4 linked regions of the Struthio camelus genome follow. The main gene of each other region encodes a partner of the protein of the gene in region 4 in a complex. Links are inferred from orthologs where the notes say so. Each region holds a gene or a part of one and is shown on either strand. Other genes may lie near its edges. The genes, in order: GTF2H4, UXT, PFDN2 and POLR2E.

Region 1 (7,925 bases), on a different chromosome or scaffold from region 4:
CCGGCGCGCCCCACGCGTGTCGCGTGTGCTCCCGTGTGCTCCGGCGCGCCCCACGCGTGTCGCGTGTGCTCCGGCGCTCACCGCTGCTTCCAGGCCCAGACCTCGGCGAGGAACTCGGAGCGCGTCAGGTCCTGGCGCCGCAGCCCCCGGCGCTGCCACAGCCACCGCTCCACCACCGCCTGCGCCGCGACACGCGGGGACACGGGGGGACACGGGGAGGTGACGCGGGGTGACACGAGGGGAGGTGACGTGGCGGGGGTGACGCAGCGGGGGGTGACACGGCAGGGGGTGACGCGGGGGTGACGCGGCGGGGGGTGACGCGGCGGGGGGGTGACGCGGCGGGGGGTGACGCGGGGGGGGTGACGCGGGGGGGGTGACGCGGGGGGGTGACGCGGGGGGGGTGACGCGGCGGGGGTGACGCGGTGGGGGGGTGACGCGGGGGGGGTGACGCGGCGGGGTGACGCGGGGGGGGTGATGCGGCGGGGGGTGACGCGGCGGGGGGTGACGCGGCGGGAGGTGACGCGGGGGGGTGACACGGGGGGGGTGACGCGGCGGGGGGTGACACAGCGGGGGGTGACACGGCAGGGGGTGACGCGGGGGTGACGCGGCGGGGGGTGACGCGGCGGGGGGGTGACGCGGCGGGGGGTGACGCGGGGGGGTGACGCGGGGGGGTGACGCGGGGGGGGTGACGCGGCGCGCGCCCTCACCTGGGTGGCGATCCCGGCGTGGTCGGTGCCCGGCACCCACAGCACCGTCCAGCCCTGCATGCGCCGCCTGCCACAGCGCCGTGTCCCCGCGTGTCCCCCCCGCGTGTCCCCCCCCCGGCCCCCGGGACCCCCCAGCATCCAGGCGCACCCGGAGACCCCCCCGGGGACCCCCCCAGCACCCTAGGGTGCCCTGACACCCCCCCCGGGACCCCTCCCAGCACCCAGGGCCCCCCACCGGGGGGGCCCTTATAAGGGCAATTATATGACCCCCCACAGCACCCACGGGACCCCCCCTCAGCCCCACGGGACCCCCTGAGCACCTGGGGCACCCCAAGTCCCCCCCCAGCACCCTTGGGACCACCCCCCAACCCCACGGGACCCCTCCCAGCACCCAGAGCCCCCCAAGACCCCCCCAGGGCACTTCCATGACCCCCTCCCTCCACCTTTGGGACCCCCCCCCAGCACCTGCAGGATCCCCCCCCAGCACCCATGGGACCCTCCAGGCACTTCCATGACCCCCCCAGCACCCTTGGGACCCCCCCCAGCACCTACAGGACCCTCCGGCCCCCCCAGCACCCAAGGGCACCCTGGGGACCCCCCCCCAGCACCTACAGGACCCCCCGGCCTCCCCCAGCACCCAAGGGCACCCTAGGGACCCTCCCAGGCACCCATGGGAGCCCTCAGGCACTTCCATGACCCCCCCCAGCACCCTTGGGACCCCCCCCAGCACGTACAGGACCCCCCACCCCCTCCACAGCACCCAAGGGCACCCTGGGGATCCCCCCCAGGCACCCGTGGGAGCCCTCAGGCACTTCCATGACCCCCCCCAGCACCCTTGGGACCCCCCCCAGCACGTACAGGACCCCCCCACCCCCCCCAGCACCCAAGGGCACCCTGGGGACCCCCCCCCGGAGCGGGGCTCACCAGCGGGCCAGGGCGTCCTGCAGGGCGACGGTGAGCGCGTGGCCCAGGTGCAGGGAGCCCGTGACGTTGGGGGGGGGCAGCACCAGGCTCAGGCGCCGCTCGGCCCCCCCGGCCTGCGGGGAGGGGTCGGCGCTGAGACCGGGCGCCGCTCGGCGCAGCGACGGGGGCCGAGACGGGACACGGTGCGGGGAGGGGGTCGGCGCTGAGACCGGGCGCCGCTCGGCGCAGCGACGGGGGCCGAGACAGGACGCTGCGCGAGGTGGGGACGGGGCTGAGGCCCGGGCAGCGTTCGGCGCAGCGATGGGGCCGAGGCTGGAGGCAGCTTGGCGCAGGGACGGGGGCTGAGGCCAGGCAGCACTCGGCGCAGCGATGGGGGCTGAGACTGGGCAGTGCTCGGCGCAGGGATGGGGCTGAGGCCAGGCAGCGCTCGGCGCAGCGATGGGGGCTGAGACTGGGCAGTGCTCGGCGCAGGGACAGGGGCTGAGACCGGGCAGCACTCAGCGCAGGGACAGGGCTGAGGCCGGGCAGCACTCGGTGTAGCGATGGGGGCTGAGGCCGGGTAGCACTCAGCACAGGGACGGGGGCTGAGACCGGGCGCCGCTCGGCGCAGCGATGGGGGCTGAGACCGGGCAGCACTCAGCGCAGGGACAGGGCTGAAACTGGGCAGTGCTCGGCGCAGCGATGGGGGCTGAGGCCGGGTAGCACTCGGCGCAGCGATGGGGGCTGAGGCCGGGCGCTGCTCGGTGCACTCACCGGGGGCCGGGGGGCGAAGAGCCCCCGCCGCTCCCACCAGCTGTACCAGGCCGCCTCCACGTAGCGGGGGCTGTAGGCGGGCGGCAGCGGCTCCTCCACCCCTGCCGCGGCCCAGGGCGTCACCCCGCCGGCCCCCGCGTCACCCGCCCGTCACCCTGCCAGCCCCTGTGTCACCCGCTCGTCACCCTGCGTCACCCCGCCGGCCCCCGCGTCACCCGCCCGTCACCCTGCCAGCCCCTGTGTCACCCGCCCGTCACCCTGCGTCACCCCGCTGGCCCCTGCGTCACCCGCCCGTCACCCTGCCAGCCCCTGTGTCACCCGCCCGTCACCCTGCGTCACCCCGCCGGCCCCCGCGTCACCCGCCCGTCACCCTGCCAGCCTCTGTGTCACCCGCCCGTCACCCTGCGTCACCCCGCCGGCCCCCGCGTCACCCACCCGTCACCCGCCTGTCACCCCGCCAGCCCCTGCGTCACCCGCCCGTCACCCGCCTGTCACCCTGCCAGCCCCCGCGTCACCCGCCCGTCACCCCCGCGTCACCCCACCTGATCCCCGTGTCACCCACCCGGCACCTGCGTCACCCTGCCAGCCCCCGCTGTCACCCGTGTCACCCCGCCGGCCCCCGCATCACCCGCCTGTCACCCCGCCTGACCCCTGTGTCTCCCCACCTGTCACCTGTGTCACCCCGCCGGCCCCCGCGTCACCCTGCCCGTCACCTCACCTGTTGCCCCGTGTCCCCCCCGCCCCCCCGTACCCTTCCGCCCGTCGGGGCCCAGCGACCCGCCGTACTCCAGCTGCGCCTTGGGGGCCCAGGCCTTGGGGGGGGCAGCCGGTGCCTGGGGGCCGCGACACGCTGCGACACGCCGCGACACGCCGTGACACGCCACGACACGCCGCGACACGCCGCGACCCGCCCCGGCCCCTCTCCACCTCTCCCAGTCCCCCCCAGTCCCTCTCCCACCCCCCAGTCGCCCCCCAGTTCCCTTGAGCCCCCCCAGTCCCCCCCAGTCCCTCTCCCACCCCCCAGTCGCCCCCCAGTTCCCTTGAGCCCCCCCAGTCCCCTCCCAGTCCCTCTCCCACCCCCTAGTCGCCCCCCAGTCCCCCCGAGCCCCTCCCAGTCCCTCTCCCAGGCCCCCAGTGGCCTCCAGTTGCCCCCCAACCACCCCAGCTTCATCTCCCAGTGCCCCCCAGTGCCCCCCAGTGGCCCCCCCGGCGCACCTGGGCCCCGGCGCCCCCCAGCTGCGCCCGCTGCTGCCGCCGCCGCTGCCGCCGCTCCTTGTGGGCCCGGGCCTGGAGCTGGGCGCCGGCGGGGGGCCCGGCGGCCCCCCCCCCGCTGCGGCCCCGGCCCCCCCCGGGCCCCCCCCGCGCCCAGGGGCCCGCTCCGCTGCCGGCGCCCCGCAGAGCCCGCGCCAGCGCCGGGGCCGCCATGCTGCCTGGCGGGCGGCGGGGCGCTGAGGGCCCAGGCGCCCGGGTGGGTGCCCCCCTCCCCCCCACCAGCGAGGGGCCCAGGCGTCCGGGCACCTCCCCCCGCCCAGGGACCCCCGGGTGCCCTCCCCCACGAGGGGCCCAGGCATCCAGGTGCCCTCCCCCGGGGGGCCCAGGCGTCCGGGCACCTCTCCCCCCAGGGACCCCCGTGTGCTCCCCCCCGGAGGGCCCAGGCGTCTGGGTGTTGCCCCCCCCCCAGGGACCCCCGTGTGCCCTCCCCCCAAGGGGCCCAGGTGTCCGGGCAGCTCCCCTCCTGGAGACCCCGGTGACCCGCCCCCCACGAGGGGCCCAGGTGTCCGGGTGTCCCCCCCCCCGGGGACCCCCTTGTGCCCTCCCCCCTGGGGGGCCCAGGCGTCCGGGCAGCTCCCCCACCCAAGGGACCCCGGCGTCCCCTCCCCGCCCCAGGGGCCCAGGTGTCCGGCTGTCCACCCCCCCCAGGGGCCCAGGTGTCCGGGTGTCCCCCCGCCAGGGGCCCAGGTGTCCGGCTGTCCACCCCCCCCCCAGGGGCCCAGGTGTCCGGGTGTCCACCCCCCCCCCCAGGGGCCCAGGTGTCCGGGTGTCCACCCCCCCCAGGGGCCCAGGTGTCCGGGTGTCCCCCTCCCCAGGGGCCCAGGTGTCCGGCTGTCCACCCCCCCCCCAGGGGCCCAGGTGTCCGGGTGTCCCCCCCCCCAGGGGCCCAGGTGTCCGGGTGTCCACCCCCCCCCCCAGGGGCCCAGGTGTCCGGGTGTCCCCCCCCCAGGGGCCCAGGTGTCCGGCTGTCCCCCGCCCCCCCCCAGGGGCCCAGGTGTCCGGGTGTCCCCCGCCCCCCCCGGGGGGGCCCAGGTGTCCGGGTGTCCCCCCCCCAGGGGCCCAGGTGTCCGGGTGTCCCCCGCCCCCCCCGGGGGGCCCAGGCGTCCGGCTCGGGCTCTCTCTCACCTTGGCGCGCGCGGCGGTGGCGGCAGTGCCGGCGGGGGCGGGGCCCGGCGAGGAGAAGGGGGCGGGGCCCGGCGCGGCCCCACGTGGTCCCGCGCGGGGCAGGGCGGGAAGGGGGCGGGGCCGAGCCGGGAGCCGGGGCGCGCGGTGAGACGGGGGCGATGGGGGGGGGGCGGCGGGACCCCGGGTGCCACCGTGTCCCCGACCCCGGTCACCCCGTGTCACCCCGTGTCACCCCGTGTCACCCCGTCCCCCCTCCGTCACCCCGTGTCACCCCATCTCCCCCGGATCACCCGGTGTCACCTCGTTCCCCCCCCCCGGGTCACCCAGTGTCACCCCATCTCCCCCTCCCGGTCACCCAGTGTCACCTCGTCTCCCCCCCGGGTCACCCAGTGTCACCCCATCTCCCCCTCCCGGTCACCCAGTGTCACCCCGTCCCCCCCCCGGGTCACCCCGTGTCACCCCATCTGCCCTCGGTCACCCAGTGTCACCCCATCTCTCCCTCCCGGTCACCCAGTGTCACCCTGTTCCTCCCCCCGGATCACCCCATGTCACCCCATCCGCCCTCGGTCACCCAGTGTCACCCCATCTCCCCCTCCCGGTCACCCAGTGTCACCTCATCTCCCCCTCGGTCACCCCGTGTCACCCCATGTCCCCCTCCCGGTCACCCAGTGTCACCTCGTCTCCCCCCGGGTCACCCCGGGTCACCTCATGTCCTCCTTGGGTCTCCCCCCCCCAGTTCACCTGGTGCCACCCCATCTCCCCCTCCCGGTCACCCAGTGTCACCCCGTCCCCCCCAGGTCACCTGATGCCACCCCCCTACGTCACCCAGTGTCACCCTGTGCTCCCATCACCCAGCGCCGGTCACCCTGGTCATCCGGTGTCACCTTATCTCCTCCTTGGGTTTGCCCTCCGGCTCACCTGATGTCACCCTCCCCGGTCACCCAGTGTCACCCCATCCCCCCTCCCCGTCACCCGGTGTCACCCCGTCCCCCCTCCCCGGTCACCCGGTGTCACCCCCCCATCTCCCGCCGGGACTCACCGCGCCGCGCTCTTTCTCCCCTCCTGCCAGGTGTCCCCGTCGGCCGTGTCCCCGTCGGCGGTGGCGGGGTGCCCGTCGGCCGTGTCCCCGCCGCCCCCCGCCATGGAGGGGCCCCCCCGGGTGCCGCGGGGGCAGCTGCAGTGCAAGAACCTGCCCGAGTTCCTGCAGGGGCTCAGCCCGGCCCTGCTCGACCGCCTCTACGGCCACCCGGCCACCTGCCTGGCCGTCTTCCGGTGAGACCCCCCCCGGGCACCCCCCCCGGGCACCCCGACCCCCCCCCCGGGCACCCTGACCCCCCCCAGAGCACCCCCACCCCGTCCCGGGGCACCCCGACCCCGGCCCGGCCCTGCTCGACCGCCTCTACGGCCACCCGGCCACCTGCCTGGCCGTCTTCCGGTGAGACCCCCCCCCGGGCACCCCCCGGGGCACCCCGACCCCCCCCCCGGGCACCCCGACCCCCCCCCCCGGGCACCCCGACCCCCCCCAGAGCACCCCCACCCCGTCCCGGGGCACCCCGACCCCGGCCCGGCCCTGCTCGACCGCCTCTACGGCCACCCGGCCACCTGCCTGGCCGTCTTCCGGTGAGACCCCCCCCCGGGCACCCCCCGGGGCACCCCGACCCCCCCTCGGGGCACCCTGACCCCCCCCCGGGCACCCTGACCCCCCCCAGAGCACCCCGACCCTCCCCGAAGCACCCCAACCTCCTCCAGGAACACCCTGACCCCCTCCCAAGCCCATCCCAGACCCCTTGACCCCCCCCCCAAGGCCCTCCGATCCCCTCGGAGCCCCCTGACCCCCCCCAGGAGCCCCCTGAGCCCCCCATAGGCCCCCCCACTCCCCCTCAGGCACCCCGACCTCCCCCCAGGAGCACCCTGACACCCCCTCGGGTGCTCCCCCCCACCCCCCTCGGGCACCCCTGACACCCCCTGGAGCACCCCAACCCCCCCCGCCCGGCCCCCCACTCCCCCCCAGGCACCCTGACACCCCCAGCAGCACCCTGACCCCCCCCAGAGTCCCTTGAGCCCCCTGACTCCCCCCCAGGAGCACCCCGACCCCCCCCCTCGGAGTCCCCAGAGCCCCCTCAGCCCCCCAGGAGCACCCTGACTGCTCCCCTGGAGCCCCCCGACACCCTTAGGGGCCCCCTGACCCCCCCAGCCCCCCAACTCCCCCCCAGGAGCATCCTGACACCCCGCAGGAGCACCCTGAGCACCCCATGGGCACCCTGACCCCCCCAGGAGCACCCTGAGCCCCCCATAGGCCCCCCCCACCCCCGCAGGCACCTCGACCTCCCCCTTAGGGGCCCCCTGACCCCCCCCCAGGAGCACCCTGACCCCCCCCAGCCCCCCAACTCCCCCCCCAGGAGCATCCTGACACCCCGCAGGAGCACTCTGAGCACCCCATGGGCCCCCCCCAGGCGCTCTGACCTCCCCCTTAGGGGTCCCCTGACCCCCCCCCGGGCGCCCCCGACCCCCCCGGGCGCCCCCGACACCCACCCACGCCCCCCCCCCCCGCGGCGCAGGGAGCTGCCGGGGCTGGCGCAGGCCGGGGTGCTGCGCATGCTCTTCGTGGAGCAGCCCCTGCCCCAGGCCGCCGTGGGTCTCTGGGTCAAGAAGGAGCACAGCAGGTGGGGCGGGGGCTCCCGCGGGGGCCGGGGGGCTCCCGGCGGGGTCCCGGCGGCGGGCTGGGGGTCCCGGGGGGCTCCCGCGGGGGCCGGGGGGCTCCCGGCGGGGTCCCAGTGGCGGGCTGGGGGTCCCAAGGGCACCCATGGGTGAGCTGGGGGTCCTGGGGAGTACCTGAAAGATGGGCTGGGGGGGGTCCCAGGGGCACCCATGGGTGGGCTGGGGGTCCTGGGGGTGCTCATGAGTGAGCTGGGGGGGTCCCAGGAGGCACCCATGGGTGGGGTGGGGGTCCTGGGGCTGCCCGTGGGTGCTAGACCATGTCTGAGGGTGGGCTGGGGGTCCTGGGGGAAACCCGTGGGTTCCAGGGGACATCTGAGGGTGGGCTGGGAGGTCCCGGGGGCACCCGAGGGGGGGTGGCGGGTGGCAGGGGACTCTTGTGGGTCCCAGGGGGCACCTGGGGGTGGACTGGGGGTGCTGGGGGTGAGC
Region 2 (7,334 bases), on a different chromosome or scaffold from region 4:
CGGGAAAGGGGCACAGGCGTCCAGAGAAGGGCCGAGGCCTCCGGGGAAGAACCCAGGCATCCGGGGAAGGGGCCCAGGCGTCCGGGAAAGGATCTAAGCATCCAGGGAAGGGGCCCAGGTGTCCGCGGAAGGGGCCCAGGTGTCCGGGGAAGGGTCCAGGCTTCCGGGAAAAGGGCCCAGGCGTCCGGGGAAATGATCTAAGCATCCAGGGAAGGGGCCCAGGCATCCGGGGAAGGGGCCCAGGTGTCCGGGAAAGGGGCCCAGGTGTCCAAGAAGGGGCCCAGGCATCCAGGGAAATGATTTAAGCATTTGAAGAAGGGGCCCAGGCGTCCAGGGAAAGGGGCCCAGGCGTCCAGGAAAATGATCTAAGCATCCAGGGAAGGGGCCCAGGTGTCCGGGAAAGGGACCCAGGCGTCCAGGGAAATGATCTAAGCATGTGAAGAAGGGGCCCAGGCATCCAGGGAAGGGGCCCAGGTGTCTGGGAAAGGGACCCAGGCATCCGGGAAAGGGGCTCAGGCATCCAGGGAAGGGGCCCAGGTGTCCGGGAAAGGGACCCAGGCATCCGGGAAAGGGGCTCAGGCATCCGGGGAAGGGGTCCAGGTGTCCGGGAAAGGGGCCCAGGTGTCTGGAGAAGGGGCCCAGGCATCCGGGAAAGGGACCTAAACATCCAGGGAAAGGGGCCCAGGCATCCAGAAAGGTGCGCAGGCGCCCAGGAAGGGGGCCCAGGTGTCCGGGACAGGGGCTCAGGCATCCGGGGAAGTGGCCCAGGAGTCCGGGAAAGGGGCCCAGGCACCCAGGGAAGGGACCTAAGCAACCGGGGAAGGGGCCCAGGCATCCGGGAAAAAGGGCCCCGGCATCCAAGAAAGGGGCCCAGGCATCCGGGGAAATGATCTAAGCATGTGAAGAAGGGGCCCAGGCATCCGGGGAAGGGGCCCAGGCGTCCGGGAAAGGGACCTAAGCATCCAGGGAAAGGGCCCAGGCATCCAGGAAAAGGGCCCAGGCATCCGGGGAAGGGGCACAGGCGTCCAGGAAAGGGGCCCAGGTGTCCAGGCAAAGGGCCCAGGCATCCGGGGAAGGGGCCCAGGCGTACGGGGAAATGGGCCCAGGCGTCCGGAGAAGGGCCGAGGCCTCCGGGGAAGAACCCAGGCATCCGGGGAATGGGCCCAGGCATCCGGGGAAGGGGCCCAGGCATCCGGGAAAGGATCTAAGCATCCAGGGAAAGGGCCCAGGCATCCGGGAAAAGGGCCCAGGTGTCCAGGGAAGAGGCCCAGGCATCTGGGGAAATGATTTAAGCATCCGGGGAACGGTCCAGGCCTCCGGGAAAGGGACCTAAGTGTCCGGGGAAGGGGCCCAGGCGTCCAGGAAAAGGGCCCAGGTGTCTGGGGAAGGGGCCCCGGTGTCCGGGAAAGGGACCTAAGCATCCAGGGAAAGGGCTCAGGCATCCAGGAAAGGGGCCCTGGCATCTGGGAAAGGGCCCAGGCATCCGGCATAAGGGGCCCAGGCGTCTGGGGTAAGGGGCACAGGCGTCCGGGGAAATGATTTAAGCATCCGTGCAAGGGGCCCAGGCCTCCAGGGAAGGGGCCCAGGTGTCCGGGAAAAGGGGCCCAGGCGTCCGGGGAAATGATCTAAGCATCCGGGGTAAGGGGCCCAGGCATCCGGGCAAGGGGCCCAGGCGTCCGGGAATGGGCCCAGGCGTCCAAGAAAAGGGCCCAGGCATCTGGGAAAGGTCCCAGGCATCCGGTAAAAGGGCCCAGGTGTCCGGGGAAGGGCCCAGGCATCCGGGAAAGGATCTAAGCATCCAGGGAAAGGGCCCAGGTGTCCGGGAAAAGGGCCCAGGCGTCCGGGGTAAGGGGCACAGGTGTCCCGGAAAGGGGCCCAGGCATCCGGGTAAGGGGCCCAGGCATACGGGGAAGGGGCCCAGGCGTCCGGGAAAAGGGCCCAGGCATCCGGGCAAGGGGCCCAGGCATCCGGGGAAATGATCTAAGCATCCAGGGAAGGGGCCCAGGCGTCCGGGAAAGGGACCTAAGCATCCAGGGAAAGGGCCCAGGCATCCAGGGAAGGGGCCCAGGTATCCAGGAAAAGGGGCCCAGGCATCCAGGGAAGGGGCCCAGGCGTCCGGGAAAGGATCTAAGCATCCAAGAAAGGGGCCCAGGTGTCCGGGGAAATGATCTAAGCATCCAGGGAAGGGGCCCAGGTGTCCGGGAAAGGGACCCAGGCGTCCGGGAAAGGGGCTCAGGCATCCGGGGAAGGGGCCCAGGTGTCCGGGCAAGGGGCCCAGGTGTCTGGAGAAGGGGCCCAGGCGTCCGGGAAAGGGACCTAAACATCCAGGGAAAGGGGCCCAGGCATCCAGAAAGGTGCGCAGGCGCCCAGGAAGGGGGCCCAGGTGTCCGGGACAGGGGCTCAGGCATCCGGGGAAAGGGCCCAGGCATCCGGGGTAAGGGGCCCAGGCGTACGGGGAAATGGGCCCAGGCGTCCGGAGAAGGGCCGAGGCCTCCGGGGAAGAACCCAGGCATCCGGGGAATGGGCCCAGGCATCCGGGGAAGGATCTAAGCATCCAGGGAAGAGGCCCAGGCATCTGGAGAAATGATTTAAGCATCCGGGGAAGGGGCCCAGGCGTCCGGGAAAGGGACCTAAGCATCCAGGGAAAGCGCCCAGGCATCCGGGGAAGGGGCCCAGGTGTCCGGGAAAGGATCTAAGCATCCAAGAAAGGGGCCCAGGTGTCCGGGGAAATGATCTAAGCATCCAGGGAAGGGGCCCAGGTGTCCGGGAAAGGGACCCAGGCGTCCGGGAAAGGGGCTCAGGCATCCGGGGAAGGGACCTAAACATCCAGGGAAAGGGGCCCAGGCATCCAGAAAGGTGCGCAGGCGCCCAGGAAGGGGGCCCAGGTGTCCGGGACAGGGGCTCAGGCATCCGGGGAAAGGGCCCAGGCATCCGGGGTAAGGGGCCCAGGCGTACGGGGAAATGGGCCCAGGCGTCCGGGGAAGGATCTAAGCATCCAGGGAAGAGGCCCAGGCGTCCGGGGAAATGATCTAAGCATCCAGGGAAGGGGCCCAGGTGTCCGGGAAAAGGGCCCAGGCACCCAGGGAAGGCACCTAAGCAACTGGGGAAGGGGCCCAGGCATCCGGGAAAAAGGGCCCAGGCGTCCAGAGAAAGGGGCACCGGTGTCCGGAAAAGGGCCCAGGCATCCAGGGAAATGATCTAAGCATGTGAAGAAGGGGCCCCGGCATCCTGGGAAGGGGTCCAGGCATCCGGGAAAGGGCCCAGGCGTCCGGCATAAGGGGCCCAGGCGTCCGGGAAAGGGGCCCAGGTGTCCGGGGTAAGGGGCACAGGCGTCCGGGGAAGGGCCCAGGCGTCCGGGGAAATGATTTAAGCATCCAGGGAAGGGGCCCAGGCCTCCAGGGAAGGGCCCAGGTGTCCGGGGAAAGGGGCCCAGGCGTCCAGGGAAATGATCTGAGCATGTGAAGAAGGGGCCCAGGCATCCGGGAAAGGGGCCCAGGCGTCCGGGAATGGGCCCAGGCGTCCAAGAAAAGGGCCCAGGCATCTGGGAAAGGTCCCAGGCATCCCGTAAAAGGGCCCAGGCGTCCGGGGAAGGGCCCAGGCGTCCGGGGCAAGGGGCACAGGTGTCCAGGAAAGGGGCCCAGGCATCCGGGTAAGGGGCCCAGGCATACGGGGAAGGGGTCCTGGTGTCCGGGAAAAGGGCCCAGGCATCCGGGCAAGGGGCCCAGGTGTCCGGGAAGGGGCCGAGGTGTCCGGGCAAGGGGCCCAGGTGTCTGGAGAAGGGGCCCAGGCGTCCGGGAAAGGGACCTAAACATCCAGGGAAAGGGGCCCAGGCATCCAGAAAGGTGTGCAGGCGCCCAGGAAGGGGGCCCAGGTGTCCGGGACAGGGGCTCAGGCATCCGGGGAAAGGGCCCAGGCGTCCAGGGAAGGGGCCCAGGTGTCCGAGGAAGGGGCCCAGGTGTCCGGGAGAGACCCAGGCATCCGGGGAAACGGGCCCAGGTGTCCGGGACACGGGCCCAGGTGTCCAGGAAGGGGCCCAGGCGTCCGGGGAAGGGCCCAGGCGTCCGGGAAGGGGCCCAGGTGTCCGGGGAAGGGGCCCAGGCGTCCGGGAAGGGGCCCAGGCGTCCGGGGAAGGGGCCCAGGCGTCCGGGGAAGGGCCCAGGTGTCCCGCCGCCCCCCCATCCCCCGTTAAGCCGAAACAACGTCGCGTTTCTCCCCGATTCCCCCCCAAAACCCACCGCCCCCCCCCCGGGCTCCCGCCGCCGGCGGCGGCCGAACCGCGGCGCGCCGCGATGACGTCACCGCGGGGGCGCCGGCCCGGCCAGGCGGCGCAGCCGAGCGCCGAGCGCGCCGACCGGCCACAGGCGCGCCCAGCCGCGCGCCGATAGGCTGTGGCGGGCGCGGCGCGCTGACGTCACGGCGCGCTGACGCGGCGGCGCGCTGACGTCACGGCGCGGCCATGGCGGCCGCCGGCAAGGTGCGGCGCTACGAGGCCTTCGTCAGCGACGTGCTGCAGCGCGACCTGCAGTGCGTGAGCCCCGCCCCCTCCCCCCTCGGCCCCGCCCCCTCCCCCCTCGGCCCCGCCCCCTCCCCTCGGCCCCGCCCCCGCACTCCCCCCGCCCCACCCCTTCTCTCCCCCTCCCCCTCGTGGGCCGCCGCGCCGCCCCCTCCCTCCTCACGGCGGATCGGCCACGCCCCCCCGCCCCCCTGGCCACGCCCCCCCGCCCCCTCCCCGGCCACGCCCCCTGCCCCCCCGCGCCGCTGCCCGCCCCCCCCCACCCCGCACAGCCAGCCCCTCCCCGCCCACGCGCTCTGGCCCCGCCCACGCGCTCTGGCCCCGCCCACGCGTTCTCTCCCCCCGCGCTCTGGCCCCGCCCACGCGCTCTGGCCCCGCCCACGCGTTCTCTCCCCCCGCGCTCCGGCCCCGCCCACGCGCTCTGGCCCCGCCCACGCGTTCTCTCCCCCCGCGCTCTGGCCCCGCCCACGCGTTCTCTCCCCCCGCGCTCTGGCCCCGCCCACACGTTCTCTCCCCCGCGCTCTGGCCCCGCCCACGCGTTCTCTCCCCCCGCGCTCTGGCCCCGCCCACACGTTCTCTCCCCCCGCGCTCTGGCCCCGCCCACGCGCTCTGGCCCCGCCCACGCGTTCTCTCCCCCCGCGCTCTGGCCCCGCCCACGCGCTCTGGCCCCGCCCACGCGTTCTCTCCCCCCGCGCTCTGGCCCCGCCCACGCGCTCTGGCCCCGCCCACGCGTTCTCTCCCCCCGCGCTCTGGCCCCGCCCACGCGCTCCGGCCCCGCCCACGCGTTCTCTCCCCCCGCGCTCTGGCCCCGCCCACGCGCTCCGGCCCCGCCCACGCGTTCTCTCCCCCCGCGCTCTGGCCCCGCCCACGCGTTCTCTCCCCCCGCGCTCTGGCCCCGCCCACGCGTTCTCTCCCCCCGCGCTGCGGCCCCGCCCACGCGCTCCGGCCCCGCCCACGCGTTCTCTCCCCCCGCGCTCTGGCCCCGCCCACGCGTTCTCTCCCCCCGCGCTGCGGCCCCGCCCACGCGCTCCGGCCCCGCCCACGCGTTCTCTCCCCCCGCGCTCTGGCCCCGCCCACGCGCTCCGGCCCCGCCCACGCGTTCTCTCCCCCCGCGCTCTGGCCCCGCCCACGCGCTCCGGCCCCGCCCACGCGTTCTCTCCCCCCGCGCTCCGGCCCCGCCCACGCGTTCTCTCCCCCCGCGCTCCGGCCCCGCCCACGCGTTCTCTCCCCCCGCGCTGCGGCCCCGCCCACGCGTTCTCTCCCCCCCGCGCTCTGGCCCCGCCCACGCGTTCTCTCCCCCCGCGCTCTGGCCCCGCCCACGCGTTCTCTCCCCCCGCGCTCCGGCCCCGCCCACGCGCTCCGGCCCCGCCCACGCGCTCCGGCCCCGCCCACGCGTTCTCTCCCCCCGCGCTCCGGCCCCGCCCACGCGTTCTCTCCCCCCGCGCTCCGGCCCCGCCCACGCGCTCCGGCCCCGCCCACGCGTTCTCTCCCCCCGCGCTCTGGCCCCGCCCACGCGCTCCGGCCCCGCCCACGCGTTCTCTCCCCCCGCGCTCTGGCCCCGCCCACGCGCTCCGGCCCCGCCCACGCGTTCTCTCCCCCCGCGCTCTGGCCCCGCCCACGCGTTCTCTCCCCCCGCGCTGCGGCCCCGCCCACGCGCTCCGGCCCCGCCCACGCGTTCTCTCCCCCCGCGCTCTGGCCCCGCCCACGCGCTCCGGCCCCGCCCACGCGTTCTCTCCCCCCGCGCTCTGGCCCCGCCCACGCGCTCCGGCCCCGCCCACGCGTTCTCTCCCCCCGCGCTCCGGCCCCGCCCACGCGCTCCGGCCCCGCCCACGCGTTCTCTCCCCCCGCGCTCCGGCCCCGCCCACGCGTTCTCTCCCCCCGCGCTGCGGCCCCGCCCACGCGTTCTCTCCCCCCCGCGCTCTGGCCCCGCCCACGCGTTCTCTCCCCCCGCGCTCTGGCCCCGCCCCCGCGCTCTGGCCCCGCCCACACGTTCTCTCCCCCCGCGCTCCGGCCCCGCCCACACGTTCTCTCCCCCCGCGCTCTGGCCCCGCCCACACGTTCTCTCCCCCCGCGCTCTGGCCCCGCCCACGCGTTCTCTCCCCCCGCGCTCTGGCCCCGCCCACGCGCTCCGGCCCCGCCCCCCGCCCCCCCATCCACATCCCACCTCCCGGCCCCGCCCCCGGCCGAGGCCCCGCCCCCGCTGAGGCCCCGCCCCCCCCCCCGCAGGCGGGTGCTGGCGCAGCGGGAGGCGGTGTGCGAGCAGCTGGCCCAGGTGCTGCAGCTGCGCGCCGCCCTGGAGCGCCTCCAGGTGGGCGGGGCCTCGGCCGAGGGGGCGGGGCCTCGGCCGGGAGGGGGCGGGGCCTCGGCCGGGTGGGGGGCGGGGTCAGCCCGGCTGCGCTGCCGGGGGCAGGGGGGGGTGCTGCTGCTATGGGGGGGGGCTGGGGGCGGGGCCACGATGGGGGCGGGGCCACGATGGGGGCGGGGCCACGGGGGGCGGGGGGTGTGGGGGGAATTGGGGGGGATTGGGGTCTTGGGGGGGATTTTTGGGGGGGGAATTGGGGGAGTTTGGGGGTCCGGAGGGTGATTTTGGAGGAATTTGGGGGTCTGGGGGGCGATTTTGGGGGGAGCTGGGGGGATTTGGGGGTCCGGAGGGCGATTTTGGGGGGAGTTGGGGAGATTTGGGGGAGAATTTGGGGGATTTGGGGGTCTGGGGCAGATTTGGGAGTCTGGGGGGGATTTTGGGGGAATTTGGGGGTCTGGGAGGCGATTTTGGGGGGAATTGGGGGGATTTGGGAGTCTGGGGGGATTTGGGGGGGAATTG
Region 3 (6,602 bases), on a different chromosome or scaffold from region 4:
GCTGCCGCGCGCTGCCTGGGGAGGAATGCGCTCACTCACTGCGGAAAGCGGCGCGGGCTGGGAACGGCCCCCGGGGAAGCGCCACGGAGCGCTCGTTGGCAACAACGGCAAGAAAACAACGGCTGGCTGCAGTCACGCAGAGAGAGGCCTGCCAGGAAGGAGGACTCACGGCACCGCGTTCCTCGGCGGGTGCTCACAGGCCATCGGGAGATGGCAGCAGGCCGCAAACATACCAAGAAGGGTCCCCGAAGCGCCACTTCCCCTGGCGCGGGAGGGGACGGTGGCCCTAGACAGCCCCACCACCAGCCTCGCCGTGGGAAAGTTTGGCCAGACCTGGCCATCCCCATCCCAGGGTCCCAGCACAAACGGACACCCCAGCTGCCTCCCCTGCTTGGGCTTGCTCTCCTCTTTTCCTTTCTCCATGTCCAGGGCGGATCCGCCCATAGGGCAGAAGACACTCACCCCAAGGCCCCTGGAACATGCCACCATCCGTGCTAACACTCATCTCGTGACCAAAAAATCTCACATGTATTTAACAAAAATATGACATGAACAACACTAAATAATAACAGAGAGGGGAAGGGAGGCTAAGACAGGAGGAAAGTCCTTAGGGACAGTGCGAATGAGCTCCTATGAGACCAGGACCCCGGCCGAGCTGGTCTTGGCTCCAGCCCCCTCGGTATTCTCCTTGGGGGGCTGTTTCTGGTCGTCCTCACCCATGAGGCGGATGTTGTGCTTCTCCCGGAAGTCGTTCAGCTCCCGGCCCTTTGTCTGCAGCTGCTGGTTCAGCGTTTCAATGATTTTGCTGATCTGGAAAGGGGTAAAGATGAGTCAGGGCAAAGCAGCAGGGAGACTGGCTCAGTCCTCGCTCCCAGGTCTCTGAAGCGAGACAAAGACGGGGGCTAGAGCTTCGCAGATGAGGGCTCGCACTCAGGGCCTCGCAGTGAGCGGGACAACCCAGTGTCTCCCGAATCACCCCATGGCGAATTGCCCTGGCCATGATCTGTCCTGTGCATCCCTGTGGGCAGCAACTTCCTGCCTGGAGGAGAGAGCTGGGCCCTGCAAGCCCTGGGGGAGGCTCTGCAGGCCGTGACCAGCCTGGGACCCTGCCACGAGGGCACCAAGGCGAAAGGAAGGCCAGCCCGGTCACCTGCTCCTTGTTGCTCTCCAGAGCCGGAAGCACCTCCTTGACGGTTCGTTCCACCAAGATGCCGCCCACCATGCGGTAGCACTTCCGGGTGGGGTCCACCTCCCGCAGCGTCTCGATCACCAGGCTGGGAGGAAGAGGAGAGTGAGGCGGTGAAGCCCCTGCGACCGCGGCCCCCCCACCCCAGGCCTCGTTTTCCCACCTGTGCTCGTTCAGCTCCAGCTCCAGCTCGGCCGCCTTCGAGGCCAGGCCCCGCTGCTCCTGCCGCAGGCGGTTGAACCTGGCCACCACCTGTGAGGACAGCGATGGGGACACAGTGCCGGGGCTGGTAACGTCCCTTTCCCTGCCAATGCCTTGGCCCTGCCCAGCCCCTACCAGCCCCCGCCGCCCTGTGCAATAGTGCTGCCCAGTCCCCTCCAGCCCCATGGTGCCGCCCAGCCCCCCCCCTGTCCTGTGCCATGGTGCCACCCAGACCCGCCCGTCCGCCCAGACCCCCCCCGGCCTGTGCCATGGTGCCACCCAGACCCCCCCCCCGGCCTGTGCCATGGTGCCACCCAGACCCCCCATCCTGTGCCATGGTGCCACCCAGACCCCCCCCGGCCTGTGCCATAGTGCCACCCAGACCCCCCCATCCTGTGCCATGGTGCTGTCCAGACCCCCCCCCCGGCCTGTGCCATGGTGCCGCCTAGACCCCCCCCGGCCTGTGCCATGGTGCCACCCAGACCCCCCCCCCGGCCTGTGCCATGGTGCCGCCCAGACCCCCCCCCGGCCTGTGCCATGGTGCCACCCAGACCCCCCCCGGCCTGTGCCATGGTGCCGCCCAGCTCCTCCCCATCCTGTGCCATGGTGCCGCCCAGCAACCCCCCGTCCTGTGCCATGGTGCCACCCAGACCCCCCCCGGCCTGTGCCATGGTGCCACCCAGACCCCCCCGTCCTGTGCCATGGTGCCACCCAGACCCCCCCCCGGCCTGTGCCATGGTGCCGCCCAGCTCCTCCCCGTCCTGTGCCATGGTGCCGCCCAGCTCCCCCCCGTCCTGTGCCATGGTGCCACCCAGACCCCCCCCGGCCTGTGCCATGGTGCCGCCCAGCTCCCCCCCGGCCTGTGCCATGGTGCCGCCCAGCTCCCCCCCGGCCTGTGCCATGGTGCCACCCAGACCCCCCCCGGCCTGTGCCATGGTGCCGCCCAGACCCCCCCCCGGCCTGTGCCATGGTGCCGCCCAGACCCCCCCCGGCCTGTGCCATGGTGCCGCCCAGACCCCCCCCCGGCCTGTGCCATGGTGCCGCCCAGACCCCACGCAATGGTCATGCCCAGCCCCCTCCCTAGCCATAGCCCTGCCAGGACCCCCCCACCAGCACAATGGTTCTGCCCTGCCCCCCCGCGCCGCGGTCCCGCCCGGGCTGCCGGACACCCCCCCCGCCCGGTACCTGCTCCGCCGTCAGCGCTTTGCCACCGGGCGGCGCCGCCGCCCCGGGCCGCCCCTTCGCACTGTCCGCCATCTTCCCTCGCCGCGCTGCGCACGCGCTGCGGGCCACGCCCCTTCCGGGGCCGGCCGGAAGGGGCGGGGCGAGGCATGGCGCCATCTTGACAGAGGGCAGCGGCGTTGGCCGCTGAGGCGGGGGTGGTGTTGGCGCCATCTTTGCTGCGGGCAACCCCGACGGGGGGGACTTTGCCCGGCCCCGGCGGCGTCGCGGGGCTGGAGCCGCGGACAGGGCATGTAGGGACTGGGGGCACCTGGAGGGCTGGGAGGGCCGGGCGGGGGCCCTTGGGGGGGTGTTGGTGGGGCCTGGGGGCCGTTTGGGGTGCTGAGGAGCTGGGGGCCGTTTGGGGGTGTTGGTGGGGCCTGGGGGCCGTTTGGGGTGCTGAGGAGCTGGGGGGGCTGGAGAGGATTCGACAGTTTGGGGTGCCGTGGGGGGCCGGGGCCAGCTGCCTGCAGGCCCGTGATTGGGGCCTGGCGCCATCCCCTCGGGGCCGCGTCCCCCTTGCACAGGAGCGAGATGGCAGCCATGTCCCCAGGCAGTGGGGGAAGAAGCCACCTCCCTCGCTGTGCCCCGGGGACGGGTGCGGGACCACCTTCACTTGGAGGGTCTCAGCTCCCTCCTGCCCCCAGGCTGAGCACGGCACCCCGCATCCTGCTGCGCTTCCTGTGCCAAGACCTCCTGGGCGCCCAGAGGCAGCTGCCCAGCTCCAGCCTTCACCCTGCCACAAACAGGTGCCAAGCGGGACCATGCGTGTGGGGCTACTCGTGCCAGCCCTGGGGGGCTATCACCGGCCCCACGGCTGACAGCCATGCTCTGCCACAGCTCCCTGTGCCTGCCCGGAGCCATGGCGGGCTCACCCAGGCTCAAGCCGCTCATCGCTGTGTGCCAGGTCACGTCCACGCCTGACAAGGAGCTGAACTTCACCGCCTGTGCGGGGCTGGTGAGGGAGGCGGCGCAGCGCGGCGCCTGCCTCGTCTTCCTCCCCGAGGGCTTTGACTACATCGGCTCCAACACCGCGGAGACCCTCAGCCTCGCTGAGAGCCTGGATGGCGATCTCCTGGGGCGCTACGCTGGGCTGGCCAGGTACTTCTGCAGGGAGACCCCGTTCCTGCCGGGGCCAGTCCCAGTGTGGCTGATCCCATCCTGCAGAATGGTTCCAGGTTCCCCTTTCCAAGCGCGAGTGGGAGGCAGAGCCAGGGCCAGGGGACTGGGGGGGGGCCTGGCCCTGCACCAGGTGACCCCCATGTCCCTGCTGTGCAGGGACTGCGGCGTGTGGCTGTCCCTGGGCGGGTTCCACGAGCGAGGCCGGGACTGGCCGACCACGCAGCGCATTTACAACTGCCACGTGCTGTTGGACCCTGCAGGTGAGAGCCCCTGGCCCTGCCCGCTGCCCGGGGGTCCCTCAGCCCTTGCAGACCTCCCGACCTTGCTCCCTCTTGTCCCCAGGCTGCCGTGTGGCTGCATATAGGAAGACCCACTTGTGTGATGTGGAGCTGGAGGGACGCGTGTCCATGAAGGAGAGCAGCTTCACCAACCCCGGCCCCGAGATCGTGCCCCCGGTCAGCACGCCGGCAGGGAAGGTATGGGGGCAGCTGGGAAGGTGGGCACGGCCATCTTCAGATGCCGCAAGGCTGTACGGCGCCCTGTCCCTGCAGGGAGAGGGGTTCCCCTTCCTGCCCTCTCTTCTGCCCTAGCAGAAGTCCCAGCTCAAACGCTGCATCCCATCTGCAGCTGACGCTGTCCCTCATCTGCATCTCCTCCATGTTGTCCTGGTCCCACCTACCCCATTCCCCTGCCCAGAGCCCCTAACAGGACTGGGTGCCTGTCCCCAGGCGCCGTGTCCTCGCTCACGTCCTCTCCTCTGTCCCCGCCAGCTCGGCCTCTCCATCTGCTACGACCTGCGTTTCCCCGAGATCTCGCTGGCGCTGCGGCAGGCTGGGGCCGAGATCCTCACCTACCCCTCGGCCTTCACCGTCACCACAGGCTCCGCACACTGGGAGGTGAGCATGCCCCATTGCTGCCCCCAATCCTCCCCCTGGCTTTCCTAGCCAGGGAGCTGCGCTCCAACACGCCTCTCGGCCTCAGTTCCATCCCTGCCCTGATCCAGGTGGCTTTTGCCTGGCACAGCCCCTCCTTGTCCCCCTGTGGGTCTGGGGACACCCCAGCCCTGTTGGCTGTTGCAGCAGGACTGAGCCCTCACCCTGCTCATCTCCAACAGCCTGAGCAGGCAAGCAGGGAGGAAACTCAGCCATGACCAAGCATCCTGGGTGCAGCTGAGGGGGCCAAAGGGAGGCAAATTTAAGATAAAAAGCCTCATCTTTTTGTTATTTAAAGCCCAGGGCCAGGGGGCACCGCCTATCTGAGCTTAGTCCCTTCCTGCCATGAGGCCCCTCTCAGGGATGCACCCACAGGGCTGTGCCGTGTCCCCAGTGGGGCACTCAGCTCTGGGCTGGTGCCACTGGGAAGGCCTGTCCCCCCATCGCAGGTGCTGCTGCGGGCCCGGGCTATCGAGAGCCAGTGCTACGTGGTGGCAGCTGCCCAGACAGGCAAGAACCATGAGCGCCGGACGTCCTACGGCCACTCGTTGGTGGTGGATCCCTGGGGCACTGTGGTGGCCCAGTGCCAGGAGGGCCCAGGGTTGTGCTATGCTGAGATCGATCTGGATTACCTGCACCGCGTCCGCCGGGAGATCCCGGTGCACAGCCACCGCCGGCCCGACCTCTACGGCACTGTGGCAGTAGGCACAGGGCCAGCACCCTGAGGCGCTGCCTGTCCTGTGCACCCTCTCAGCACGGTGATTTTGGCTGATCTCCACTCACCTCCGGGGCCCTGGGCTGGCAGCAGGGCTCTCCTGCATGAGAAGGCCAGTGTCAGGCGAGCTGGGGCACCCGCCCCCCCCCACCCTGTCACCCAATAAATCTAATGGTGCCTGCCTCGCACGTCCATTTTCCCCTGACCTGAAGGTGGAGCAGGGCTGCAGCTGCTCTGTTTGAGAGCCTCTGAAACATGGAGAGGCAGGAACGTGCTGGTGCCCTGGTTTCTCCACAGGCTGCTACAGGGTACCCTGGGAACAGGGAACAGAGCCGGGGGATGTTTCCCCCCCCTTTCAGTCTGGGGGCGGGGGGGGGAAGGCAGCCTCCACACTGCCACTTACAAGCTGCAGCCCCCAAAGCAGCACCCCAGATGTGGGGTGCTCCCAGCACCTGTCTCCCTTGCCTGCCTCAGAGGTGCCTGCAGGGGCTGGTGAGGAGCAGGGCACCCAGCCTGACAGGGCAGCCACCCGCGCAAGGAAGGAGCCATGCACTGCAGTAGATGTTTATTTCAAGAAAACTGGAAGCTACACAGGGAATATGACTGTTATATTGACTTTTTAAAAAATACAGAAGTCACAGAAATTACACCAAGTTGTGCCAGAATTGTCTGTAACCAGAGGGGTGTGTGTGCGCACAGGGGAGGAAGGGGGAACCACATGCACACCACAGCAGTCCTGGGGGGGCTGCCCCATGGTGGTCCTCCCATCCCAAAGCACAAGCCCTCACATGCCCCTGCTTCACCCCTCAACGCACACACTGGAGCAGGAGCAGGAGGAAAGAGCCTGCAGCCAAGCAGCAACAGGGGAAAAAAGAAACACAAAAACCAGCTAAGTTGGAAAAAAAAACCACCCTAGGAACCCACCACAAGCAGCCAGGGAGCAATAGGACAGGGCCCATTGCAGCCATTTCAGTGGCCTGAGGTGACAGTCCTCTGGAGACCTGGGAGGAGCCAGGTGGCTGTGGACCAAGGAGCAGCATGTGCTGCCGCCCCCCAAAACGTGCAGCCCCCATTAGCGAGGCAGAGGCTCGGCTGACTGCACCAGCAAGGGGCCAGCCAGGCCTTCCCCAGCACCACCTCGCTTCGACCCAGTTTGCCAGCAGGAGCCAGGGCTGCGAGGAAACAGAGCCAGGCAGCAGCAGAGCGGAGGGGAGGGGAGGGAAGC
Region 4 (7,597 bases):
TGAGTACGAGAAGCTGGTGGCAAGTTTCCCCAGCAGGGCTTCCCTGCCAGACACGCATACACACTCAAACCCAGACAGAACAGTTGCAACACTGCAACCCTCAGGAGCCACAGAGACACTGGGCACCAAGCTTCAGGCCTGTGGCTGGAACGTAGCATAGAAGTGCCACCTTCAAGTGCAGGGCAGTCAAAGGTTGGGAATGGAGTCACATCTGCTGGTCCTCAGAGGATTCAATGGCCACAGCTGTCTCCCCTTGCTGGAAGCCTGCCCAGCTTACACAAGTCTCTGTACCACGACAGCTTTCCCATGGGAAAGAAAGGCCCTTCCCTTCTCTTGGGGTTCAGAAATATCATCAATACCCCCTACTATCACAGCTCTGCCTATAGAGAACTGCTGCCTGTCACCAGCTTGTGTCACTCTTACCTGACCTCGCTTTATTCCAAAGTACCTGGCCACTGGATCCCCAGCCTGTATGCGTGGGAGCTGGTTCTCTCTCAGCTTACTGCACAGGACAGTCAAGGAAGAGCTCTATCAGCAGCATAAGCAACTGGCTCAGGTACCCATTTGTTTTAAGAACGGGCACGGTTATTAGAACCGACTAGTACATTGTCACACTCAGAGGTGTATTCATTTTCAACTTAAAGCAAGTATGAATCACACCCAGGGAGGGAAGGAACAAACAAAGGATACTATCGGGCTAGTAGCTCAGTTACTTCTTCCTTTGTCATGACCACGTGCTCTGGAACCAACTGTAAACAAAGGAGAGACGTTCCAAGATTAGAAAACCAGAGAAACCAAAAGTCTCCTCACAGCAGCAGGACAAGGAACATGTGGGTAAGCAAAACTAGAACAACTACTGCTGTGTCACCCAGCCTGACCTTCCAAACAGAAGATCGCTAAAAGCTAGGTGATGGTCTGCAGCTCAGCAGAGAGACTGGTTGCCTCGCCTTTGCTCCACTGCCAGCACAACTTACCTCATGTTCTGTGATGTTGATCAAGAGCTCTTGCTGCAGAAACTGCTCCAGGATATATTTGGGAGCCATATCTACCAGGGACTGAAAAGGAAAAGGCATGTCAGACTGCAGCACAGGGCACTGCTCGAGGTCAGTCCTACCTGCGCTCAATAAACATCACATTGCAAGGGATATCATTACATTTGTGCTCACACAGTTAGAGCTACACAGCAAACTGCTAACGGACCTTGTCACCGCTGGCAAGTATCTCCTCTCCTCTCATAAACCTCAGTAGGCCCTCTCTTCTTCTTTAACCAGAGTTAGAAAGCTCTCTTTAATCAGAGCCAGTTGTTCTGGTTAAACACATTTGCATGTTAAGCAAGACATGTCCCCTGCGTTAAGGGACAACAGGTTTTAGTGAAACATTTTCTCAGAAATAAAATTCAACATTCTTATTAATCTAAAGCAGCACTGCAAAACAAACATGCAAAACATCCATAGTCTACAATTGCCCTCTGGACCGTGAGACAGGTTGTTTTTTTTTTTTTTTAAAAAGGGTTCTCTGTACCTGCTTTGCTGAGGGAGTCATGCCTTGCTGTACCACAATCAACGCTCTGGTGATGTTCTCCTCCTGCATCCTCTGACAGTACATCTTGATTGTCTTTATTCCAACCTTGGGCTCCTCTAGGAGTGAGGGAGGTACCATGATCACGATACATGCATTCAGTAATCCACATTCTAATAGCCTTTGTTTTGCAGCCAGTGATACACTTATGCACAAATATTCATTCATTCTACTCTGTGATGTATTTTCTTTTTGCACAACATTCTGCATCCAGCCTACCAGCTGCAGAAGTCACCCCTGCAGTCATACACAGCAAAACTTATGGAATGTTTTGCCTTGTTAAACCCAGTGGAATAAGGCATGTTGTGTAAATAAAGAAAACCCAGCTGGAGCTTACCACACCAAGATATTTATTTTGCAGGACAGAATAAGCTTTCTGAAAGGCTTCATGCCAGTAGAACAGGAAGAACTGGCTTTCATTAGAAGTGAGTTTTTGAGCGCTGGGGAAGCACAGTCACATCAGGCTTTCAGAAAGCCAAGCCATCCCTTCCACACAGCTTCTATCAGTGTGAGGCAAAAAGGTAACACGCAACAGCAGCAGATATTCCTTGGTGCCTGAGTTAACAGTTTTGAGAAGTCCAAGCTCACTGCACATATGGTAACTGTGTCACACTTACCTGGGAAGAAAACAAACATCTGATCAGTAGGATCATCATTATGAGCCACCAGCACTGTCAGGTCAGTGCGCCTCGGCCTCCCTTCACTAGGCTTGTCCCCAAACTGGGCCTTGAACTCCTCCAGGGTCTGATCCAACTCATCCTGAGTCACCAGATAGCCCCGATCATGACAAAGCTGCAGAGAACATCCTCACTTAAGACACACAACAGGTAACCCGTGTTCACAGCTCCGCTCACTTCCCACACGCAGCGTTTCACCCTTCGCGCTCCAAACACAAGTCCTGCTGCTGCCGGAGCCCGCACCAGAGCGCCAGGCACTGCTGAACCATCAAGCCCCACCACGAAAACTCCGTACAGCTCTTAGCACAGCGCAATCCTGCCCGCGCCCCGGAGAAGGGGGACAAGCGCTCCGAGGCGGGCCCGAGAGAGTCCCAAACGCCAGGACCCCGCCGCGATGGCTCCCCAAGGAGAGCAGAACAGAGGGCCGGGCCGGGCCTCGCCTCTCCCCCCACCCGGCTCGGCCCCAGCCTCCCTCCAAGGCCCAGGCCGCCCCCAGGCTCCCGCCCCGGGCCTCTCGGCCCGCCGGTCCCCCAGGCCCCGGCCCCGCACCTGCATGATGGTCTTGCGGATCTTCCACAGCCGGTAGGTCTCCTCCTCGTCGTCCATGGCCCTCGCGCACGCGCGCTGCCGCCGCCGAAAGCCCCCCGCCGGCCCTGGGGCGCCCGCTTTAAGCGCCTGCCGCGCGGCGCTGCAGGCGGCCGCCGGGGCCGCCGCGGGGGCCTCGGGAGCAAGGGCTGCTGGGAGGTGTAGTCCCGCCCGCCTCGCCCCGCCTCGCCTCGCCTCGCCGCTGCTGCCCCCTGGCGGGCGGGGGCCCCCGGGGGGGGCTGGGGAGGGGACCCTGAAACAAGGGGTCTTGGGGCAGGTCCTAGGGCAGGTCTGGGGCAGGGGGTCCTGGGGCAGGGGGGTCTTGGAGCAGGGAGGTCTTGGGGCAGGTCTGGGGCAGGGGGTCCTGGTGCAGGGGGGTCTTGGGGCAGGGGGGTCTTGGGGCAGGTCTGGGGTGGGTCTGGGGCGGGGGGGTCCTGGGGCAGGTCAGCGACCTGGGCCTGGCACAGTAGAGGCTCTAGGGCAGGGCAGGGGGCCTGGGACCACCAGCTCTGCGTGCCCAGGCCCCAGCCCGGGGGCTGCCCAGTCCCCCCAGCGGCCTGTGCGGCCATTTGTCACCATGCCTGACCCCTCCCGGCCACCCTGCAGCTGGGGACGGTGTGGCAAGAACGAATCGGGGAGAGAAAAACAGAACAAATCCTCTTGCAACACAATGGAGCAGTCTCAAGCCCAGACGCGTGACAGTGACACCCCCGGTGGGGACGGCCCTGATTGGGGTGGGGGGGCCTCCTCTGCCACAGCAAAGGACATCTCTTCTTTGCAGCAGGGCGGAGGGACAATTTTTTTGCCAGTTTGAATTACAGCTCTGAGCTTCTCAGCCCAGGACACATCAAAAGACCACAACCTGTCAGTAGCAGTATCTACCAATTTTGCACACAGATCAAGTAGAAAACTCCTTTGAAGGGGGATATTATTCAACGTAGATGCAAGCTTCACTGGCAGAGACAGAAATCCAACCCTCTGCAAACAATCCGCCTGCTGAGGCTCTTTTCCTGCCGCCTTTAACTCTAATCACAAGCCGTCATTAATCCTGCCTAACAAAGCACTAAAAAAAGACACAAACTATTGGTCAGGGATCTGCCTCCTTTAATCTCGTGTTCTCCCAAATTATCCCAGCTGGAGAGCCCCTTTTTTCCCCCCTTTCTTTCACGTTTTTCAGTGCTTGCGTTGCCCTACAAATTGGCTCAAAGAACATGGGCAGGACAGGAGCTCAGCCCCGCCGCGTGGGCTCAGCCGTGTTTTGTGCCTCCCTTCGTTTCGGCAGGACCTTTCAAGTTTTCCAGTTTCCACTCAGCAGCAAGACGAGGGATTTTAACTCCTAAGAGCTGGTCTAAAGTTAACGGCCTACAGCTAATTGTCCTTGACAGCCAGCAGCGTCAGCGGCTGTCCGTGGGGAGCCACAACCCAAGACCAAGACCAAAAGCAGCCAAGACTGTGGCGAGCGGGAGATGCTTTTATCTGCAGCCTCTTCTGCTCCCGGTGCCCTCCTGGATCCAGGCATTGAGTAGCCACAGGAAAATGTTCCCGTCTGCCGTCACACCGCAGCCCCACAGCCACAGCTCAGTCACGGGGCTAGAAACTGCTTCCCAAGGACGTTCCCCAAACCCACTGGCCCGCGAGCAGGCAGCACCTGTAGCAGCCTGCACCCAGCTGCAAAGAGGTGGCTGCAGGCACCCAGGCAGTGCAGCCCAAGGGTGCAGTGATCGGCAGCCTCCGCCCTGCACCACCAGTGACGCTCCAAACCATGCACTGTGAGCAATGCTCCAACCATGCACCGCCAATGATGCTCCAACCCTGCACCGTGAACGATGCTCCAACCCTGTACCACGAGCGATGCTCCAACCTTGCACTGTGAACGATGCTCCAACCCTGCACCACGAGCAATGCTCCAACCATGCACCGCCAACGATGCTCCAACCCTGCACCATCAGCAATGCTCCAACCCTGCACCGTCAGCAATGCTCCAACCAAGAATTGTGAGCAATGCTCCAACCCTGCACCGTGATGGACGCCACCATCCCCGCACCGAGACCCAAGCAGCCCCGGGCCATGTGCCGCGGGAGGGCCACCGCTGGCGCCCCAGGCCCAAGGGAGCCCCGCGGCGGCGCCTGCAGCGCCGAGCACCGGCGCGGCCACGTGACTGGGGACCCCCCGCCCCACCTCGTGGTCCGTCCCTGCCCCCCCCCCCCCGCCTCGTGGTCCGTCCCGCCTAACCGATAAACAACCGCTGCGGCCAAACAGCCCCCTGCCTGCTCTGCGATTGGCCAGCTGCGCCGTCCATCATCTGGGCCGTGCCGCCTCCCCGCGCGCTGATTGGCCGAGCCGCCGGAGGGGGCGGGCCTCAGGGCGGGAGGCGGTGGCGGCGCGATGGTTTTGGGTCACTTGTCACGGCGGGCACTGCTGTGCGGGGTGGTGGCGGCGCGGCGGCTGAGCGGGAACATGGTGAGCGCGGCGGTGCCGGCGGGGGGGGGGGAGGTGCGGCGCCGGGCACGGTGTCGATGTCGGTGTCCACCCGCCTCAGCCCCTGGAGGAGGCGAAGCGCGTAACGGCCCTTCAGTGAGGTGACCATAGAGACGGCCTATCCCCAGGGCAGAGTGGCGGCCGCCTTTGGCGGACCCCCGCGCGGGACGGTGGCCGCCGCGGGCCACGCGCCTGGCGGCAGCGCTGCGCAGCCCGGCGGCCGCCCCGATCTGCCCGTGCGCGGAGGTGGGCCCGGAGCAGCTGCCAGCTCAGCTCCCCTCCCCCCCCCCCAAAAAAAAAAAAAAAAAAAGGGACCGAATCCGGCTGGATGAACCCGCCGGGAGCCGGGTGGGCGGCGGCGCGGGCCGGGCTGCAGCGCTCCGTTGTGCGGCAGGAGCTGCTGCTGCTGCTGCTGCTCCTGCTCCTGCTCCTGCTCCTCCTCCTCCTCGGGGAGCAGCTCTTGCCTCAGGGAGGGAGCGAGGAGCAGAAGCCAGCCGTGCTCAGGCGCTGCCAGGGCCTGGCCTGCTCCCCCCGTCCGGCCAGGGCACAAACTGGTGGTGACTGGGGACGGTGCTCGCGGCCTGCCTGGGCCGGGCGGGAGACCCGCTCCTCCGACGGGGGGGAGGCCTCCAGGATGGCCCCTGCCTGGGACTCCATGAGGGCCTGGGGCACGTACAGCAAGGATCTGTGCTTAAGCTTCTAATTTTGTGCTTGTCCAGCCGTCACTGCACAGGGTGAGGAAATGCTGGGAGAGGTGTGGTGGGGGGAGGCTCTGGAAACCGAAGCCCTGCCTGGGGTGCTCCTCCAGCAGTTGAAGCACCCAGGATGAATCATGGGGTTGTTAAACCTAGCAGGGAGCAACATCAATAACGTGCAAGTTTTACTGCAAGTTTTACATTGTGCTGCGTAGGAGAAAAGAAGACCTAAGAAACTGTAGTTTGGGAAACTTGTAACTTAGCTGGATTATCATGACCCTGTGGGTGGACCAGCTGACATGGAGCACGTGGCTCATTTGGGGCACCTGACAGCAGGGAGCCACCAGAGTGTGTGACACTTGCCTTCCTGGGTACGCTCAGCTTCTGCTTCACGAGTCCTGACATGAGCAACGAGTAGAGAGGGGAGCTGCTATGGATGGGAGGGACAGAGACAGCGAGCCATCAGCATGGGGGCACAGGCACAACCTATTGCTGTGACATGGCTCACTGCTGGTCTCCTGTTGGAGCTGAGCTCACCTAAAGCTGGAGAGGACGTGCTGCTGGGATTGCTGGGGAGGGAAGCTGACAGCAGCTCTCGGCTCTCTTGCAGTGTGCCCAAGTAGATGACTGGCGCACTGCCAAATCAATCTATGACTTCCATGCCCAAGACATAGACGGCAACACTGTCTCTCTGGAGAAATACAGGTAGGAGTGAACGGCCTGGAATCGGCTTGTCCTTAATAACGCAGTACACAAGCATGGGAGGGGGGAGGTGGTGCCCTTGAGCCCTCGAGGGGGAGTGCTGTTCAAAGGTCCTTAGTAGCTGCACCAGGCAGCAGTGACTAAGCCACAAAGGGAGCTTGCATAACATGAGAAAGGCTACAGAGAAAGCAGCTTGTTTTTTGTGCTGCCTTCCCTTCTTGCTGCACCCTTCACAGAGAGCATACGTGAGGGGCTTGCCTAGCCCTGTTACGGGAATTCCTTCTGATTCTTTTTCTTTCCAGGGGCTTTGTCTGCATCATCACCAATGTTGCTTCAAAATGAGGCAAAACGGATGTAAACTACACTCAGTTCGTTGACTTGTACGCCAGATACGCTGAGAGAGGTTTACGCATCCTGGCCTTTCCCTGCAACCAGTTTGGAAAACAGGTATGTGGGAGCAGCAGGAAGGCTGCCCTGGAGCCGTACACAAGGGCAGCTCTTGGTCTTGAGGATCCGCTTGGCTAGCTGGGGTCTGCTTGCCTCCCCAGTACACGAGAGGGAGCCCATACAACATCCGCATGCCAGCAGAGCCATGGAGTTTCTGTGCTGAAAGGGGAAGAGGCTTATGTTAGAGTGCCCTGTCTTTTGCCTTCCTCAGGAACCAGGGGACAATGCTCAGATTAAGGCATTCGCTGAAAAGTACGGAGTGAAGTTTGACATGTTCAGTAAGATCGATGTCAATGGGGAGAATGCCCTTCCGCTCTGGACGTGGATGAAGGCGCAGCCTGCGGGAAGAGGCACCCTGGGCAAGTGAGTGGGGAAGAGGGTGTTGTAGAAACCCCCCAACCTGCCTGGCACTGCTGGAACAGCCCATGGGGCTGA

Evidence for each region.
Region 1: POLR2E (region 4) and GTF2H4 share a complex: the UniProt entries of both Homo sapiens proteins name them as parts of the TBP-based Pol II pre-initiation complex. The link is inferred for Struthio camelus from reciprocal best matches to the Homo sapiens genes POLR2E and GTF2H4.
Region 2: POLR2E (region 4) and UXT share a complex: the UniProt entries of both Homo sapiens proteins name them as parts of the PAQosome complex. The link is inferred for Struthio camelus from reciprocal best matches to the Homo sapiens genes POLR2E and UXT.
Region 3: POLR2E (region 4) and PFDN2 share a complex: the UniProt entries of both Homo sapiens proteins name them as parts of the PAQosome complex. The link is inferred for Struthio camelus from reciprocal best matches to the Homo sapiens genes POLR2E and PFDN2.

What each region holds. Positions count from the first base shown.
Region 1 is NC_090977.1:635,841-643,765, reverse strand, and holds the start of GTF2H4 (general transcription factor IIH subunit 4), read left to right. Parts: upstream 1-4,911; 5' UTR 4,912-4,925; intron 4,926-5,850; 5' UTR 5,851-5,922; coding exon 5,923-6,053; intron 6,054-7,339; coding exon 7,340-7,444; intron 7,445-7,925. Other genes in the region: VARS2 (valine--tRNA ligase, mitochondrial), read right to left, coding at 82-179, 708-774, 1,632-1,744, 2,385-2,485, 3,136-3,364, 3,600-3,809. UniProt on the Homo sapiens protein: Component of the general transcription and DNA repair factor IIH (TFIIH) core complex, which is involved in general and transcription-coupled nucleotide excision repair (NER) of damaged DNA and, when complexed to CAK, in RNA transcription by RNA polymerase II.
Region 2 is NW_027182705.1:18,382-25,715, reverse strand, and holds the start of UXT (protein UXT), read left to right. Parts: upstream 1-4,327; 5' UTR 4,328-4,456; coding exon 4,457-4,524; intron 4,525-6,739; coding exon 6,740-6,821; intron 6,822-7,334. UniProt on the Homo sapiens protein: Involved in gene transcription regulation. Acts in concert with the corepressor URI1 to regulate androgen receptor AR-mediated transcription. Together with URI1, associates with chromatin to the NKX3-1 promoter region.
Region 3 is NC_090971.1:436,068-442,669, reverse strand, and holds PFDN2 (prefoldin subunit 2), read right to left. Parts: upstream 2,699-6,602; 5' UTR 2,645-2,698; coding exon 2,573-2,644; intron 1,439-2,572; coding exon 1,350-1,438; intron 1,275-1,349; coding exon 1,151-1,274; intron 811-1,150; coding exon 631-810; 3' UTR 507-630; downstream 1-506. Other genes in the region: NIT1 (deaminated glutathione amidase), read left to right, coding at 2,861-2,862, 3,136-3,357, 3,449-3,709, 3,887-3,990, 4,073-4,206, 4,501-4,626, 5,112-5,387. UniProt on the Homo sapiens protein: Binds specifically to cytosolic chaperonin (c-CPN) and transfers target proteins to it. Binds to nascent polypeptide chain and promotes folding in an environment in which there are many competing pathways for nonnative proteins.
Region 4 is NC_090967.1:7,260,375-7,267,971, reverse strand, and holds the start of POLR2E (DNA-directed RNA polymerases I, II, and III subunit RPABC1), read right to left. Parts: upstream 3,014-7,597; 5' UTR 2,862-3,013; coding exon 2,805-2,861; intron 2,371-2,804; coding exon 2,196-2,370; intron 1,638-2,195; coding exon 1,522-1,637; intron 1,056-1,521; coding exon 975-1,055; intron 750-974; coding exon 691-749; intron 503-690; coding exon 424-502; intron 1-423. UniProt on the Homo sapiens protein: DNA-dependent RNA polymerase catalyzes the transcription of DNA into RNA using the four ribonucleoside triphosphates as substrates.